4 linked regions of the Macaca fascicularis genome follow. The protein of the gene in region 2 binds, or shares a complex with, the protein of the main gene of each other region. Links are inferred from orthologs where the notes say so. Each region holds a gene or a part of one and is shown on either strand. Other genes may lie near its edges.

What was found. The genes of interacting proteins can lie anywhere in the genome.
Region 1: CYFIP1 (region 2) and ABI1 share a complex: the UniProt entries of both Homo sapiens proteins name them as parts of the WAVE2 complex. The link is inferred for Macaca fascicularis from reciprocal best matches to the Homo sapiens genes CYFIP1 and ABI1.
Region 3: CYFIP1 (region 2) and WASF2 share a complex: the UniProt entries of both Homo sapiens proteins name them as parts of the WAVE2 complex. The link is inferred for Macaca fascicularis from reciprocal best matches to the Homo sapiens genes CYFIP1 and WASF2.
Region 4: CYFIP1 (region 2) and EIF4E share a complex: the UniProt entries of both Homo sapiens proteins name them as parts of the CYFIP1-EIF4E-FMR1 complex. The link is inferred for Macaca fascicularis from reciprocal best matches to the Homo sapiens genes CYFIP1 and EIF4E.

Annotation. Positions count from the first base shown.
Region 1 is NC_088383.1:27,593,542-27,598,186, reverse strand, and holds the start of ABI1 (abl interactor 1), read left to right. Parts: upstream 1-1,619; 5' UTR 1,620-1,785; coding exon 1,786-1,902; intron 1,903-4,645. UniProt on the Homo sapiens protein: May act in negative regulation of cell growth and transformation by interacting with nonreceptor tyrosine kinases ABL1 and/or ABL2. May play a role in regulation of EGF-induced Erk pathway activation. Involved in cytoskeletal reorganization and EGFR signaling.
Region 2 is NC_088381.1:554,136-558,256, reverse strand, and holds part of CYFIP1 (cytoplasmic FMR1-interacting protein 1), read right to left. Parts: intron 2,811-4,121; coding exon 2,733-2,810; intron 2,543-2,732; coding exon 2,441-2,542; intron 1,260-2,440; coding exon 1,078-1,259; intron 1-1,077. UniProt on the Homo sapiens protein: Component of the CYFIP1-EIF4E-FMR1 complex which binds to the mRNA cap and mediates translational repression. In the CYFIP1-EIF4E-FMR1 complex this subunit is an adapter between EIF4E and FMR1.
Region 3 is NC_088375.1:207,583,422-207,588,294, reverse strand, and holds the start of WASF2 (actin-binding protein WASF2), read right to left. Parts: upstream 3,027-4,873; 5' UTR 2,843-3,026; intron 2,329-2,842; exon of another isoform or gene 2,206-2,328; intron 1-2,205. UniProt on the Homo sapiens protein: Downstream effector molecule involved in the transmission of signals from tyrosine kinase receptors and small GTPases to the actin cytoskeleton. Promotes formation of actin filaments. Part of the WAVE complex that regulates lamellipodia formation.
Region 4 is NC_088379.1:104,497,084-104,501,828, forward strand, and holds the start of EIF4E (eukaryotic translation initiation factor 4E), read right to left. Parts: upstream 3,027-4,745; 5' UTR 3,012-3,026; coding exon 2,884-3,011; intron 1-2,883. UniProt on the Homo sapiens protein: Acts in the cytoplasm to initiate and regulate protein synthesis and is required in the nucleus for export of a subset of mRNAs from the nucleus to the cytoplasm which promotes processes such as RNA capping, processing and splicing.

The sequences.
Region 1 (4,645 bases), on a different chromosome or scaffold from region 2:
TTGGATATATGCAAACCGAGTGATTTGTACAGTTAAACCTCAAGTAGAGACCAAGATCAATAATACATTAAATTTTAATAACTTGGATTAAGTCATGTTTGGGTTAACGATAAATATCAAAAGATAACTATTATACCTATTCCAGATATCATGGAAAGTAATACATTTATTATTGATTTATAGACCACAGAATCCTTGATGGAGAATCTGGTGGCAAGGGGAAGTTAACACTTTTAGTAGGAAACTGAATTTTTCCTTTCAGAGGTTGAGGAGGGAAACTAGTTCCCTGGGGCCCTGAATAAGGCCCCAGTAAAGGCAATATTCAATAAATACCTGGTGATGGCAATTTTTAATTTGGTTGAGTGATGTTGTTAATCCTATAGTTATTTTGATTCTAAATGACTTTATGGAGATACATGGACATATGGATTTTACAATGATCTTTAGTTTCCTCTTCGGCCTTTGGACAACACTTTTCATAGCTGATTATATCCAAAGCATTTAATGTTCCCGTTGAAGTGAAGAGCTTGAAATATAGGGCCTTTTGAGACTATTCCAAAGCAGGTGATAAAAACAAAACAAAAATCCAGAAGCAAAAAACGAAGGGCCAGCATGGGTGGCTCATGATTGTAATCCTAGCAGTTTGGGAGGCTGAGGCAGAAGGATTGCTTGAGGCCAGGGGTTCGAGACCAGCGAGGGCAACAAAATTGGATCCCTGTCGCTACAAAAATTTAAAAAGCTCAGCCCCGGTGTAGTGACCCTCGCTTGTAGTCCCAGTTACTCCGGAGGCTGAGGCATGAGGATCGCTTGAGTCTAGGAGGTCTAGGCTGCAGAGAGCCGTGATTGCGCTACCGTACTCCAGGCTGGGTAAGAGTGAGATCCTGTTTCAAACAACCCCCACCCCTAAAAAACCGTGCACTTGACTTTAAAAGTGTAGGAAGATTACATGCCAAGGAGAGTCACAGAAAAGAGAAATTAGGACAGGAAAGCCCTACAAGCTATGCATGTTTATTTTATAATCGAGTCTTTAAGGGTATGGAGTATTCATACTCAACTTGTACCCCCAGTGTCCAGTACACTGCTTAGTAAACAGCTGGAATCAAGAAATCTTTGCTAAATTTTAAATTAATTGATGGGGGCGGAAGCTCAGAAAGTAAAACCTGACTCGCATTATTTCTAAGAAGGCAGAGGAAGTAAAAATCTAGTTTTCTATACTCTGTCCCTTTTTAATCCTTCTGTGAATGGATGTCCCTGATTCACTGGCATTTCCTAATTAACCAAGTTCTGCCAAGTTTCACATGAAACTTGGGGAACCGATTTCATTCCCCCACAATCACCCTGTGGCGCCACCTTCCGGAGCTGTGAGGAAACTCCGGACTTCCCCCCAACACCGCCCCCTCCCTCCACCTTCGGTCTCCGCTTTCTGCGCTCTGCCTAGTTGTTTTCGGAGGTGTCTGCGCGCATGCGCTTTGGACGGGCAGCCTTGTCTAAGAGAGACTACAATTCCCAGAAGACAGTGCGAAAGAAAAAAAAATCCCGCGGCCCGGCGTGGGGGAGGTGGCAGAAATGAAGACTCGCGAGAGAACGAGGTTCAGGCGGCTGCGCGAAGTGGGTGGAGGGAGACCCGAGAGAGTGAGGAAGAACGGGAGGAGGTGCCGTCCCACAATACCAGGCGGGAGGGCGGGTAGTCGGTTTGTATCCGGGCTGTGAGGTGCTCGGAGCCTCGGCGGACCTTGCTGCCTCTGTCTCTTTAACGCGAGAGGAAGCGATGCAGAGGGGTGGAAAATGGCAGAGCTGCAGATGTTACTAGAGGAGGAGATCCCGTCTGGCAAGAGGGCGCTGATCGAGAGTTACCAGAACCTGACTCGGGTGGCGGACTACTGTGAAAACAACTACATACAGGTGAGGCGCGCTGGCGGCCGGCGGGCGCTGGCCGGGTCGAGGACCCGCCGGAGTGACCAGCCCACTGGGCGGGGTGGGGAACTGCCCTCACCTCAGCGGTTGCCACCAGCCCGAGCCCCTACCGCAGTCCCAACCCCAGCCCCAACCGGGGACAGAGCGAGTGGCCCGGCTGAGGGAGTCGGGCTGCGATACAGGAAGTGGCTGTGGTGGTGGAAATCGATGGAAGGGGAGAGAAAATGGGCGAGGGAGCCGGGAGCCCGCCGCAGCCCGGCGCCCCCCTCGCGTCCGCTTTCCCCAGGGCCGGGCCACCGGGGTCGCGCGCCCCCCAGGTAGCCTCCAGTCCACGGAGCTGGCGTCCTGGAGACCCCCCTGCTGCCGCCGCGCCGCCTCTCTGCGCCCGGAGAGGAGGTCCAGGACGGGAGAGGGGAGAGGAGAGGGCAGGGACCAGGCTGAAGCCGCAGAAGGGATAGGACCAGCGGGGTGTGTGTTGTGTGTCGGCGGAGGGTGGGGTGGGGGCCATTATGTCAGTTTCAGCCCCCAGAGGGTGTGTCTTTTATTTATTTATTTAAAAAAAATTTGTCATGAGTCACATTACACCGACCTCCCGGAGGAGAGGAGGAAGCGGGTGTGGGGAGTGAGGGAGGGCGTTTGAGAGAAGTTAATCTTAAAATTCCTTTAATTGAAGGTTTGTAAATCTGCCTGCTTGTCCATTTTCAAGTCGGGTTCCCCCCCCCCCCCCGCCATCGTTTTCGCTTCCGCCCCACCGTAATGTATTCTAAGAGGTTGTTAGGGCTGCTATCATTAATTATCAAACAGGAATTGTTTTTAACTCCTTGGAAAAACGGCTTAAATACTCTCTCTTCTCCCAAAAGTTCTTGAACTGTAGGCTTCATAAGTAACTTAATACTGGTGTCATCGCTGGTTGCTTATTTTCTGAGGTTTCTCTCTTAACAAGCTAAGTAAATGTATAGTATATGAATCCAAGTACAGAAATGAACAGAGGTAGCCTCCGAACTACAACATAAAAATATCAGTTATTGTAAATTAGAAAACTCTTGGGACTTTGTGACAGATGCTGGTTTGTTCATTTCTTTTTGGATGATTGGAAGTGAATTGTGTGTGGTAGTTTGTTTTGAAGACCTTTAACTGTGTAAACCAACAGTTTGCACTAGAAACAAAGTAGCACAGTCCTTTGTATAAATATAAAGCCACCAGAAATGCTCTTGCTTTTGGTAAGGCAAGGCTAGAACGTGCTTTGAAAGGTTAGGGTTATTGCAATTCAGAACTAAATTATTTATAGAAATGCCTCCCATGTGATTATAATTTTTAAGAACCAATGTTTGTGTGTTGGCAAATGCTTTCCCTCTTTATTTTTAGAGGGAGATGCTGTTTTCAGAATGTTTTGAATATTTCTTAATTTTGATGTTAGTAACATTGTATCTTCAGTAGCACTACTCGGAATTTATCTTCACAATTTTTTTGTAAAGTTTTTACTTTAGGAATTCTTCGGATAAGTAAACTTGTTGAATACCTGTCACATCTACTGTATCACTTTGTTTATGCAAACTTTATATTTAGCCCTTCGAAACTTAAAAATCGAGTAGAAAAGTGGGTATAGTTTGCAAATACAAAAGTGATCTTGTAGTTTATCGATATTAAAAATAGGCAACTTTTATTCAACTTAACATGAAAAGCCTTGAAATTGAGGAGAACCTTAATTTGCTGAAAGTTTTAAAGATTTTTGAAAGCCAAAAGGAGAGCACAGTAGGTTAAATTGCTCCCTTTCCAGAAAAGTTATGTCTTCTCTGTAGAAGTCAGTAGATAAGTACTTCATACAGGGTGGCTCCTTTTTGTTTTGCGTGTTGGGAAATCTGACGAGTATATAGTGTGGTAACTATGTGTTGGCAACTCTTGGTAACTGTAAACGTGTTTTAACCTGTGTACTATTTCTTTTTCAGGTAGTTGTATGCTGTAATGCTTTTTTTACCCCTCTCTGACCCCTTTCCTTTACTCCTCTTGCTACGATCATGTAACTTTGAAGCACTTTAAAACTTCTTTGCTAATATATCTAATTAAGTCATGTTATTTCTCATACAGTCTCTCACTTTATAAAATGTTAGTGCCATGGTGCAGGCCCCGTTTTTTTATTTTCTTTTTTTGCGGGGGCGGGGTGGGGTATAATTCTAAATCTGACACCAGTGAGGTGTTTTGTTTATACTGGGGGGGGGGGGGGGGGAAAGAATTCACACAAAGCAATGATGATCTAAATACCTTAGTAGCCTTTATTCATTGGGCTGCATGATCCAGGCCACTAGTTGCCTCCCTAAGGGACTCAGACAGGGTCAGACTCAGAAAGTGATGTGGAAGTTGATGTGGTAGGTGGTGCTGATGACTTTGGTGCTAAGAATGGGGAATGAATAATATTAGAAATATCCATTAGGGTGTCTGTTGAGGTCTTTCTATATCCTTCCTGGGACCTGATTGGGTTATTTATAACTAATACTCTTCATAAATATACCTCTTCTCAGTGAAAGTATGCAGTTCACATGTGCTTTGAGAATTTTTAAATAAGGTGAGCTAAGTTATTGCTTGGGTGATTTTTGTTCTGAGATTCACTTTTCATTTCATTTTTCTACAGTTTGAAAGTGCAGTCCAGTTTAGCTAAGGTGTGTAGCTGAGAAACTCTTTTGGCTGTGGTGCATTTAAGTTCTTGAGGCAGTTTATTAGTTCTTTGGTTCTGTTG
Region 2 (4,121 bases):
CAGACGTCCGCCCCAAGAGGGGCTCACAGGCCCACTCCGGAGACCCTTCTCTAGTTCTGAAGATCTAGGCTTCTGTGCAGAGCTGACGATTTTAGTGATAACGGAACACTGCCTTAGTTCACGTGAATGAGGCTTAAATTCTGCCTGACCTAGCTTGACTCCTACTGCTGCCTCATTTTGTCCCAAGTGGGGATTTTTCTTTTTATAAAGACATAACAACAGTTGTATGATTTAAAATGCAACATAACTAGAGCGTATTCAGATGCAAAGTAAGGTCTCTTCGAATTTAATTTTAGAGCTAAGATGCCTTACTTACTAGAGGAAACTGAAATTAGCATCTCATTCCAGCAAAACATGTCTTCAAAAGCACCGGGCACAAACGAAGCAGAGCATCAGGAGACAGCGCCGTGTGTCCCCGAACGCCTGTCTGCCGCCCACCACCCCACAATCCTCCGGAAGCACACGCCGGGCCATGCCCGCCTCTTCCATCCCTCCTGCCGGTCTCTCCAGAGGCTAGCTTCTCCAGAAGCTCTCTACATCCAAAAAGAAAACCGCCGGGGAGAGGACCTGGAAACGCAGTGTGACCCCAAGACACCCTGTGACTGTGCATGGGCTACGTCTGCACGTTGCTGGATGGTGCTCAGGTGCCGGGGACCCCCACCGGCGAGAGACTGGCACCGAGGACTGCAGCCCCAATGCCCAAGGTGGGCTGCAGAGGCCACCTGCCCCCTTGCCAAGATGCTCCCTGAGCCAGATGCCTGTGCTCTGTGAGCTAGGCCTACAGCTTGTGCACGTCTGTCTTCCCAGGGGCGCGAAGGTCCTCCGTGACATCGAAGGACAGCCAGGGCACTAAGAGTCTGCTCTAGCTTTGCAAAGCCATGATATGCACTTACCTGCTGGCTCCCCTCACTTTATCCCCCAGAGCAGGTGCTCCCACAGCCCTGACACCGAGAAGTAGCCGCTGCCTACCAGAAGTGACGACTTCAACACACAAAGACACACACCTGCTACGCACGAGGCGGGCCACTGAGCTGCGCGCTCTCGGGAAGGCCCACGGCACACGGGGCCGGTGCTCACCTCTTGTATGCTGAGTGGTCGTTCTTCACACTGCACTTCATGTTCTTCAGCTCGTCCAGCACAGCGAACATGTTGATGAACTTGCCCAGTGTGATCAGGTAGGCTTCAGACACAAAGTCCTTCCTCCTCTCGGCGTGGCACAGGCGCCTCACCTCCCCGCAGAAACGCTCAATGGCGTTTCTCTGTGCAGAGGAAGCGGGGGGCAGAAAGCTGCAGGTCAGTGAGGGGCCAAGCCCATGTCCCTGCTTCAAGCACCTGCAGTCACTGCTCCTTGATGAGAAAAATCTGCCCCGCGCGGCTTCGGGCCCAGGTGTTTACAATGTGGGCAGCCAGACCCCCTCCTGAAAGCAGCTCCGACGGCCTGCTCTGCAACGTCGTTACTCGTTTTGCACTTTACCAACTACGTCACTAAAGTAACAACATCTTGCTGATTATTCCAGCAAAATTACTGAGCAAAATGATCCAAGAAAACGTCTGCAAAATTCATACGTTCTAACTTTCAGAAGTGAAAAGTGGGAGAGATTTTTTTCCTCTTGGTAACTTTCAAGGTAAAATGAAAATTAATCTCCTAGTTAGTTCCATCTCCTCCCTCTGCTAATGGACATCATAGAAAATCTGGATGTTTCCAAAATACTTCTTTAAAAAGCAGCAGGCCCCTTTCATGTGGCTGCTTCTTGCCTAATCAAGGCCAGGGCGAGGACCACCAGGAATGGACAGTCAGGGTGAGGCTGACAGCAAGAAAATACCTGAAAGACCAGATGAATCAAAAGTACAAACTGGCCAGGTGCGGTGGCTCACGCCTGTAATCTCAGCACTTTGGAAGGCCAAGATGGGTGGATCACCTGAGGTCAGGAGTTCAAGACCAGCCTGGCCAACATGGTGAAACCCTGTCTCCACTAAGAATACAAAAACTAGCCAGGCATGGTGGCGGGCGCCTGTAATCCCAGCTACTCGGGAGGCTGAGGCAGGAGAATCACTTGAACCTGGGAGGCGGTGGTTGCAGTGAGCGAAGATTGCACCATTGTACTCCAGCCTGGGCGACAGAGCAAGACTCCGTCTCAAAAAAGAAAGTACAAACTGGCAGAAAGTCAAAGCATTGTACTTGAAACTGACAGAAAGCAGACTCCGTGAAGGAAACATGAAATCACTGAGAATTCTGAGAACCACAAAAGGAGTGTTGATTCCAAAAGGGCGTGAGAAACTTTAGACTGTCAAAGGCTTGGTCCCTTTTGTCTCAGAAACTGGTTGCTTTAATTTGCAGGCACTCTGTTCAGGGTGTTCACATTGACGGCGATGGGTAGGAAGGTGTCAGCAACCCACCCCTCGGTGTTACACCCCCAAGATAGGGATTTTGCCATTTTACCTGGAAGTACATAAAATTCATCAGTTTTGTGACCTCAGGCTCCAGAACCTCCACGGTTTTCTCATAAATTTCCACTCTGTTAGGCTGCTCGTTACATTTCACCTGGAATAAAGAAACAAGGATGACATAAGAGGCTTGGATCCAGCCAGAAGCAGCTGCTGGGCAGCTAGAGCTGGTGATCCCGCCCTGCTGTGGGGTGAGACCCGGGAGGAGAGTGGCCAGGCATTGCAGGGGCAGGGCGGGGTGGGGCACGGCAGGGTGTGGGGAGGGAAGAGACAGGCGAGCAGGGCACCTGCGGGATGGCCCGGGAGCAGCTCCTCCAGGTGTACAGCATGACAGCATATTCTTGGCCCTCCTCCAGCATCTCGTTCTGCAACGGAACACAGGGCAAATCAAAGGCAGGAGGGGGAACTAGCATGAAAAGCAGATGCCAGTTGCTAAAATCTAGACAAAGCACCATGAACTATCCTAAGCACTGTGGCCTGTGTGCCAAGAGACAGCTGCCGAGAAGCTGGTAACGCTGAGGTGCGGCGCTGGGGGCCACAATGACCACCCAAAACACGCCAGGGCTCCTGCAGGCGAGAGGGTATCAGTGACATGCAGGCATCTCTGGGGCATGCCACAGGCATTACACCTTGGCTCCGCCCAGCCCGAAACAATCGCTGGCCATGAGACCTGCAGTCGGGAGCACAGAGGAAGGGCTCAGGGCAGACGCCCTGCCCAGTGTGAGCACACGCAGGATCCCCATGGCCTCCCTCCTCACTGGCTCACAGGGCCTCCCAGTCCCAGAGAGGACTAGAGGCAGGGCTGCCCCAGGTGTGCAGGAGGAATAGTTAGGATTTAAGTGCCCACAGCACTTAAAATCTAGGTGGAGAGTCCATGGGAAGAGGACTGTCATCACTGCTATAAAACTGCTTTTGCTTTCTACTCTTTAACATCATTTCCTTTGGTAAAAATCAAATAGATGCTCTTAAATCTAGCCTATATTTAGAGAGATGTTCATCACATTAGAGAGATGTTCATCACAGCTTTTTTTTTTTGAGACGAGTCTCGCTCTGTCACCCAGACTGGAGTGCAGTGACGCGATCTCAGCTCACTGCAACCTCCACCTCCTGGGTTCAAGCAATTCTTTTGCCTCAGCCTCCCGAGTAGCTGGGATTACAGGCGTGCACCACCATGCCCAGTTAGTTTTTGTATGTTTTTTCCATTAGAGACAGGGTTTCACCATGTTGGCCAGGCTGGTCTCGAACTCCTGACCTTAGGTGATATGCCCACTTTGGCCTCCCAAAATGCTGGGATTACAGGTGTGAGCCACTGCACCCGGCCTACAGCATTTTTTTTTTTTTATTATATGACATAAAAGAGGAAATGAAGTAAATGTGCAAAAATAGTTGAACTGTGGACATTTACGAAATGGTTTACATAGCCATTAAGGATTGCTTTCTCCAGCACATTTTCAAGGCATGAAAATATTCTTGTCCAGGTGCAGCGTCTCAGGCCTGTAATCCCAGTACTTTGGGAGGCTGGGTGGGCAGATTCCTTGAGTCCAGGAATTCGAGACCAGCCTAGGCAACACAGTGAGACTTGCTTTTACAAAAAATACAAAAAGGTAGCTGGGCGTGGTGGTGTGTGACTATAGTCCCAGCTACTCAGGAGGCTGAGGTGGAAATATTGCTTGAGC
Region 3 (4,873 bases), on a different chromosome or scaffold from region 2:
GTGAAACCCCATCTCTACTAAAAATACAAAAAATTAGCTGGGCGTGGTGGCGGGCGCCTGTAGTCCCAGCTACTCAGGAGGCTGAGGCAGAAGAATAGCATGAACCCAGGAGGCGGAGCTTGCAGTGAGCTGAGATCACTCTGCACTCCAGCCTGGGCAACAGAGCAAGATTCTGTCTCAAAAGAAAAAAAAAGAAAAAAAAAGACTTAATGTGTCAAAAGCCAAACACATTATTATGTGTTTTTCAAGTGATGGTGATATTTGCATCCTGTAATATCTAAATCAATTCCTTAGGTTGAAATCACAGTTAAAATACAGCCAAAGACTCAGTCGGGCGCAGCAGCTCACGCCTGTAATCCCAGCACTTCGGGAGGCCGCAGCAGGTGGATCAACTGAGGTCAGGAGTTTGAGACCAGCCTGGCCAACATGGCAAAACCCCATCTCTACTAAAAAATACAAAAATTAGCCAGGCGTGGGGTTGCATGCCTGTAGTCCCAGATACTTGGGAGGCTGAGGCAGGAGAATTGCTCAAACCCGGGAGGCAAAGGTTGCAGTGAGCCGAGCTCACGCCACTGCGTTCCAGCCTGGGTGACAGATATATATATATATTTGTTATATATAATACATATATTTTTATATATTATATGTATTATATATTATATACTATAAGTTTTATATAGTATAATTTATATATATTATATATAAATTTTTTATATTATATATTTTATGATATATGACATATTTATGTATTATATATAAATTCATATATGATTTATAATATATATTGTATATGTTACATATTTATATTTATATATATTTATTTTATATTATATATTTTTATTATATATTATATATTTTATATATAAGACCGAATTAGTAATATGCTGAGAAAAAGAATAATCCACTGTAAATAACTTACTCAATAAAATGCTCTGATTTTTAAACAATTATTCTCAGAGGTTTTAAGATTTAAAATTATTTCATTCTAGAAGAAAACTCTGAACAAATTACAATTGACTTTTTCTATGAAAGTAGAGCCTGGGACATGGCTAGAGACAGGAACAGTTCTTAAAGATATTTGAACGGGAAAAAGAGTTTCACAGTTCTTTCCTTCCTTCCTCCTTTAGTTGCTGCTTTTCTGGTTTTAGAATTTCAAACAAAGAAATACATACTGGCTCCACTGCTAAGAAACGCCCTTTTTCTCAGCAACTTCCTCTTCCAGTTTTCTTCTCCACCATTCACATATGAGAACAATACCCATAGCCATTCCTACCATTCTGATTAATCAAAAGCTCTGAGGTTTGGAAAAATTAAGGGCAGCAAGTTATTGTACCCAACTACCACCTACCTCAGATCCACAATCTTCACTCATTAGAAGTCAAATAACAGGTTGCACAAAGAAAGGGGTATTAAGCTTAATCAGAGGCGGGATATTGAACCTTTCACCCCAAGAAATCCAAAGAAATTTGAACTAAAAAATGGGAAATTTCTCCCATCCCAAGAAAATGTGGCCCTCTGATGGAGGAGAAAAGTGAATGGGCTGGCACCACCCTGAACCAAAGTATAGTCTACACACCAACAGCTGCTGAACTTTCTTCTACAGGCAACCCCAACAGGATTCAAATGGAGCTCTCTGAGGATCTGACACACTTCAAAGTGACTTTTACGACTTACAAATAGTTCTTTCCAACTTACAGACTGGATAAAGGGGCTGGACTTATAATTAACCTTCCAGAGATCAAGACTGTCCCCATGCCAGAAGTCAAATCACATACCTGGGGCCAGACCTCTGCCCCCATCTGCAACAAGGCAAACTTCCCTAACACTATCTTTTAAGTGGGCAGTGACTTCCCCCTTGCCTAGAGATTCTGAGAGGAAACAATTTAGTTAAGTAACCTCTGCCCTTTACTGTGTGACCTTGGGCAAGTTACTTAACTCCTCTGAAACTTAGTTTCCTTATGTGTAAATTCTCAAGGGTCACTGTAAAAGTTCATAGGCCTAAGCGAGGGTTGGCACCTAGTAGGGCTGCCATAAAAGTTCTTCCTCCTCCTTCTACCCTCCTGATTTCTGGGCCTAAATTCCAATCAGAGCCCCAAGGGGCTCCAAGGAGTCCTTCCTCTTCTCTGGTTCTATGGACAACCGTATTAAAACTTCCCCTCTCAGAGGCTCTAGCGTTCCTGGAGAACCAAGAGGACCCCAACTCACCCCATCGTGGTCTGGGTAGCACCCACGTCCTCCTTGGAATAGCCCCTTTAGACAACTCTCCTCCTTACTCTGCAGACCATCCTGTACGCGCACACACCCACACGCACTCTTACACACACACACACAGTGCCCTCCTCCCGCTCCTCAATATTTAGCAGGTCGGGGCCTCAACGAGCACCTCAGTTACTTCGTGGTCCAGAGATGGAAACTGAGGCTCAGCCTGGGGAAGAACTTGTCCAAGATCTCAGACAACAGCTGGGACCCAACTCCTGTACATACATCTGCCGACGAAACCCTCGTTTTACACATGGGAAAACTAAGGCCTAGAGAGGAAAGTGACTTGCTCAAGATCACACAGGGAGCTGATGGCAGAACCAGGTCAGATCGGGACACTCGTAGTCCCTCAGACTTGCGGACCCCTCCAAGTTTCGGAAGGGGACTCCGGGTCACTCCCTCCCTCCCTGAGGGGGTGGGGTGGACTAAGACACCACCCCGCGCTGACCACTCGCCCAGCCTCTGCCACTCGGCAGTGAGAGTCGCGGCACCCACTCCCCCGGAACCCTGCGGCTCGGGAGGAGCGGCCCGCCCGGGGACCGCGCCTCCCGGCGGGGTCTACCCAAGGGGACTTGTTGCTCACCTGGCCTCCCGCAGTCGCCGTCAGCGACAGGAAAGGCCGGCCGGCCGCACAGTCTCCGCACAGAGTGTGCTCCCGCGGACCGCCTCGCGGGCTGCCACACGGCCGGACCCCCCTCAGCGCGCTACGCCCCCAGCCGCGCTCGCCCGGCCCGTGTCCGCCATTACGGTATTCCCCGCCCTGGGACGCAGCCACACCCCGCCAATGGCCCTGATTGGTTCACTGCCCAACCCACCCGGGGCTTCGGGGCATTCCATTGGCCTGAGTAAAATGCCAGTTAAATAACTACGCAAAAGACGTACTCACGGGTACCCTCCCCGGAGCTCCACCCGGGCGACTTCCGCAATCCGAGTAAACAGCGGGGTGCAAACCAAGTGAAATGGGGGGCAGAGATTAAGGCAAACGGACTCCTAAGTTCAAAGTAGGGAAAACTCACCGAAGAGAGTGTAAAACCTCGTACAGAGTGTGTTGAAAGATTAATTCTTCTTGTTAGCCTTCAAAGAACCGCTATATTTGGCGAAAGGAAGGGGCCAAGCCCGTAAACTTTCTGTGGACACCCCTCAAGTTGCAGATGGTGTTGTCCCTTCACTCCGGTCTCAGCCGGGGCAGAAAGTAGGGTGGGGAGAGTGAGTCACAAGCTCTAGCCCGCCCTGCACTGTCCATGTGGGGCGAGGCCTGGGTGCTGGGAATGGGGGATAGTACTGAAAAGCCATGGTCAAAGTGAGCGGATCCCTGGTTGAGCCACTTCACTCTGCGACCTCAGACATCTTCCAGAATTTATCTGGGTCTCAGTTTGTCCTTCTGCGAAATAGGAGCAGTCGTCTGTGCCTCACATGCGGGAGTGTTTGTTGAGGATTCATGCATGAGTGGGGAATATGCTCGTCTTGTTGATTATAAAAGGCTGCAGCTGGCCGGGCGCGGTGGCTCTGGCCTGTAATCCCAGCGCTTTGGGAGGTCGAGGCGGGCGGATCACCTGAGGTCGGGAAATCAAGACCAGCCTGACCAACTTGGAGAAACCCCCGTCTCTACTAAAAATACAAAATTAGCCAGCCGTGGTGGCGCATGCCTGTAATCCCAGCTACTCAGGAGGTTGAGGCCGGAGAATCGCTTGAATTCTCCGCCGAGAGGCGGAGGTTGCAGTGAGCGGAGATCACGCCATTGCACTCCAGCCTAGGAAACTAGAGCGAAACCCCGTCTCAAAAAAAAAAAAAGGCCCGGCGCGGTGGCTCATGCCTGTAATCCCAACACTTTGGGAGGCCGAGGCTGGTGGATTACTTGAGGTCATGAGTTCAAGACCAGCCTGGCTAAGTGAAATCCCGCCTCTAGGAGGATCACCTGAGGTCGGGTGGTTGAAACCAGCCTGGCCAACATGGTGAAATCCAGTCTCTACTAAAAATACAAAAAATTAGCCGGGCATGGTGTCCCATGCCTGTAATCCCAGCTACTCGGAAGGCTGAGGCAGGAGAATCTCTTGAACCCGGGAGATGAAGGTTTCGGTGAGCCGAGATCACGCCATTGCACTCCAGCCTGGGCAACAAGGGCAAAACTCTGTCTCAAAAAAAGAAAAAAAAGAAACCCTGCCTCTATTAACGCAAAAATTAGCTGGGCGTGGTGGTGCGCATCTATGATCCCAGCTACTTGGGAGGCAGGAGAATCGCTTGAACCTGGGTGTTGGATGTTGCAGTAAGCCGAGGTCATGCCACTGCACTCCAGCCTGGGAGACAGAACGAGTCTAAAAAAAAAAAGGCCGCAGCTAGATAGAAATGTGACAAATTCACACGTTAGCAAAGATACCTCACTTGGTTCTCTAGGGCAACTCTGTAAGGCAGATTATTACCCTCGTTTTTGCAGAAGAGAAAACTGAGTCTTCCTGAAGTTGCATGACTTACCCAGGGTCCTCCAGGGAATTTGAAACAGCCCCGGAACTCAAACCTGTATCTTTTGGTTTCCACTCCTGTATTTCTCCCTTTTCAGGCCTATTATCATATGAGAATGACTTCCCTCCCCTCGCCCCCCGCACTCTTCCCTCACGCA
Region 4 (4,745 bases), on a different chromosome or scaffold from region 2:
TTAAAATAAATTTTTTAAATGAACATTCTTAAGGGAGCACTAATATGTACCTACTGATCATATTACTTTGCACATATTATGCAGCTTAAGCCAACATCACAAATTCAGTTTGGGTTTGGGGAGGTGATAACACAGACACAAGAAATAACAGATGTGTGAACTAGGATGATAAGGCTAATGATAAAATTTAAATGTCAGTACTATTTAAACCAAAGGCTACCAGAAGATTCATAATTTAAAATAACTAGAAAAATTTACAGGCTGGGTGCGGTGGCTCATGCATATAATTCCAGCACTTTGGGAGGCAGAGGCAGGTGGATCACGAGGTCAGGAGTTCAAGACCCACCTGACCAACTTGGTGAAATCACATCTCTACCCAAAATACAAAATTAGCCAGGCGTGGTGGCGCATGCCTGTAACACCAGTTACTCAGGAGGCTGAAGCAGGAGAAGCACTTGAACCCGGGAGAGGGAAGTTGCAGTGAGCTGAGATCGCGCCACTGCACTCCAGCCTGGGCAACAAGAGCAAAACTCCGTCTCAAAAAAAAAAAGAAAGAAAAAAGAAAAAGAAAAATTTACGTACGGCCAGGCACGGTGGCTCATGCCTGTAATCCCAACACTTTGGGAGGCTGACGCAGGCAGATCATGAGATCAGGAGATCGAGACCATCCTGGACAACATGGTGAAACCCAGCCTCTACTAAAAAATACAAAAATTAGCTGGGCCTGGTGGTGCATGCCTGTAATCCCAGCTACTCAGGAGGCTGAGGCAGGAGAATCGCTTGAACCAGGGAGTCAGAGGTTTCAGTGAGCCGAGATCGCACCATTGCACTCCAGAATGGTGAAAGAGCGAGACTCCATCTCAAAAACAAAAAAAAAAGAAAGAAAACAAAGAAAAATTTACATACGTTGAACATTATACAAAAGTAAAAAATGATTCAAAATATATCAACATTAAAATGGCATTAGGACCAGTGCACAAAACTGTTGACTGCAGTAACACGGTATTTTCCATTTCAATTATTCCTTAAAGCTTTATAGGAAGTATTTGAAACGCAAATCTTTTAAAGAATTTAACTGCTATTTAAATGTTTATACATTTTAAAACTTAGAAAACATAACTAAAATTTCATGATACTAATTAAATTCTAGTTTTTTTTTTTTTTAAATCTATCTTTACATGTCACAGTTCAAACAAATGAGCAGTTACTGTTAAAATTCTATGTGTTTGGCCGGGCGCAGTGGCTCACACCTGTAATCCCAGCACTTTGGGAAGCTGAGATGGGTGGATCGCCTGAGGTCAGGTGGTCGAGACCAGCCTGGTCCAACATGGTGAAACCCTGTCTCTACTAAAAATACAAAAATTAGCCAGGTATAGTGGCACGTGCCCATAATCCCAGCTACTCGGGAGGCTGACTCAGGAGAATTGCTTGAACCTGGGAGGCAGAGGTTGCAGTGAGCCAAGGTAGTGTCACTGCATTCCAGCCTGGGCAACAGAGCAAAACTCCGTATCAAAAAAAAAAAATAAATAAATTACATGTGTTCATTTTTAAAAGTTAAAGGTTATAATTTCAATTTAAACTGTAGCTTTAATAAGGTCATTTTGTTTTCTGTAACAACTTCTTATCCAACAGATTTTTTTTCTTTTTCTTTTTCTTTTTTTTTTGCCTTCAGAGGAGGGTATCACTGTTAACTTAGGCTGGAGTGCAGGGATGCAATCATAGCTCACTGCAGTCTCAAACTCCTAGGCTCAAGAGATGCTCCTGAATAGCTGGGACTACAGGCATGCCCAGAAAATTTTTAGAGACAGGTCTCACTATATTGCTCAGCCTGGTCTCAAACTCTTGGCCTCAAGTGATCCTCCTGCCTCAGCCTTCGAAATTGCTAGGATTACAGGCGTGAGCCACCACGTCTGCCTTTTTATGTACTAAGGTTTTAAAATCACCTTTCAAAAGAAAATATTTTGAAGAAATATATGCCTTAAAAAAATTTACAAAACCAGGTATAGTCAGTTTCTTATGTCCCCAGGATTACAGAGTGGAATACAACCTTCTATTTACTTAGTTTAAGTTAATAAACTATCAAGCTTCCAAACCTAAAAGGATCTACTGAGTTCCAAGTCAAAGCTAAATGGGAAAATAGAAAAACAGTAAAATTAAAATAAAAAGATCTATATTATTTAACCTAGTAATTAGACTTCTAAGAGACAATACATCTATCAACAGATATACCCAAAAGGTAATAGATAAACCATGGCATTTATAATGTAAGCACTAAACATGTTTGTAAGAATTACTTTAAAAGTAATACAAATGTGGAGAAAAGCAGATTACAGAACCATATAAAAATGAGCACTTAAAAAAAAAAAAAAAAAAAAAAAAAAAAAAAAAAAAAGGCCAGGCGTGGTGGTTCATGCCTGTAATCCCAGCACTTTGAGAGGCCCAGGTGGGCGGATCATGAGGTCAGGAGTTTAAGACCAGCCTGGCCAACATGGTGAAACCCATCTCTACTAAAAATACAAAAATTAGCCAGGCGTGGTGGCATGTGCCTGTAATCCCAGGTATCTGGAGGCTGAGGCGGGACAATCGCTGGAACCCAGGAGGAGGAGGCTGCAGTGAGCCGAGACCACGCCACTACACTCCAGCCTGGCAACAGAGCAAGACTCTGTCTCAAAAAAAAAAAAAAAAGAAAAGAAAAGAAAAAAGAAGCACTATTTTTGTGCTTTTGACCTATATTAAGAAGTCCTAAATAAACTGTAGTACATCCAGAAAATGAAACATTACTGAGTGCTAAAATAAAATGAGTTATCAAGCCATAAAAAGACATAGAAGGAACTTAAATGCATATTACTAAGTGAAAGAAGCTAAGCTGAAAAGGCTACGTACTGTATGATTGTAACTCTGTGATATTCTGGAAAAGACAAAAAGATCAGTGGTTGGTGGGAAGGGTATAAACAAGCAGAACAGAGAGGATTTTTAGGGCAGTAAATTATTCTGTACGATATTATAATCATAGATATATGTCATTATACATTTGACAAAACCCACAGAATGTACAACATGAAGAGTGAACCCTAATGTAAAGTATGAACTTTGGGTGACAATAATGTCAATTTAGGTTCATCAATTCTAACAAATGTGCCATTCTGTTGCAGGATGTTGACAGTGGGAAAGCTGTTCCTGCACAGGGGCAAGGAGTAAGTTACAGGAACTGTAATTTCTGCTCAATTTTGCTCTGAACCTAAAACTGCTCTAAGAAAATTAAGTAGTTAGTTTTTGAGACAGGGTCTCGCTCTGATACCCAGGCTGCAGTGCTGTGGCACAATCACAGCTCACTGCAGTCTCGACCTCCAGGGCTCAATCAATCCTCCCGCCCAAGCCTCCTGAGTAGCTGGGACTACAGGTGCATGCCACCACACCTGGCTAGTTTTTTGTATTAATATTTTTAGTAGAGACAGGGTTTCACCATGTTGCCTAAGTTAGTCTTGAATTCCCGGGCTTACGCAATTCACCCACCTCAGCCTCCCAAAGTATTGAGGTTTCAGGCATGAGCTACTGCACCCAGCTGAAAATTAAGTATTTAAAGGGAAAAACGAAAAGGTACGAAGAGGGATATGGTTTAAAAAAAAAAAAAAAAAGTTCACTTTCAGAGAACACTTAGTTGTTGAGATTACAGATTATTTTTTTCACACTGATCTAAATATTCCAAATGTATTATAACAAAGTTATATTAAAGCCCAAATAAACATCTGAAACTACTCCTGGATGGCTCAGTGTATTCCAATAATCTGCCCATCCCTTCCTACGTGAATATCATATTTTTGTAAATTTCTTTTTTCTTTTTTTAGACAGCATCTTGCTCTGTCACCCAGGCTGAAGTGCAATGGCGCAATCTTGGCTCACTGCAACCTCCACTTTCCGGGTTCAAGCAATTCTCCTGCCTCAGCCTCCCAAGTAGCTGGGATTACAGGCACCCACCACCACGTCCAGCTAATTTTTTTGTATTTTTAGTAGAGATGGGTTTTCGCCATGTTGGTCAGGCTGATCTCGAACTCCTGACCTCAGGTGATCCACCTGCCTCAGCCTCCCAAAGTGCTACTATTATAGAGTCACTGCGCCCAGCCATTACTTTTAACAATGTTTTTCTTCATGATATGGTAAGTTCCCCATTCGCCTTTGCTCTTCCTTTTTAAAACTTTGCTTCTGCTCAGGCCTGTAATCCCAGCACTTTGGGAGGCCAAGGCGGGCAGATTCCCTGAGGTCAGGAGTTTGAGACCAGCCTGGCCAACACAGTGAAAACTCGTCTCTACTAAAAACATAAAAATTAGCTGGGTATAGTGGTTGGCGCCTGTAATCCCAGCTAGGCTGAGGTGGGATAATCACTTGAACCTAGGAGGCAGAGGTTGCAGTGAGCCAAGATGGTGCCACTGCACTCCAGCCTGGGCAACAGAGTAAGGCTCTGTCTCAAAAACACATGTCTACATACTCAAAGGAATAAGTTAAGATTTTGCATGTATATAACAATTATAGGAAGCTATAAAAATGAACATTCAGAGGACAAAAAAAAAAAAAAAAAAGGAAGGAGGACAGGAGGGAGAAAATAAATAACTGGAATTTCAAAATGAATGGAAATTTAAAATGAAGGTTGAAAAATAAATGAAATTTTCCAGAGAACTAATCCAAGAGATCTAATATATGAGCAACTGTTTCAAAGAGAAAAGAGAGGAGAATCACTAATAAACCTATGA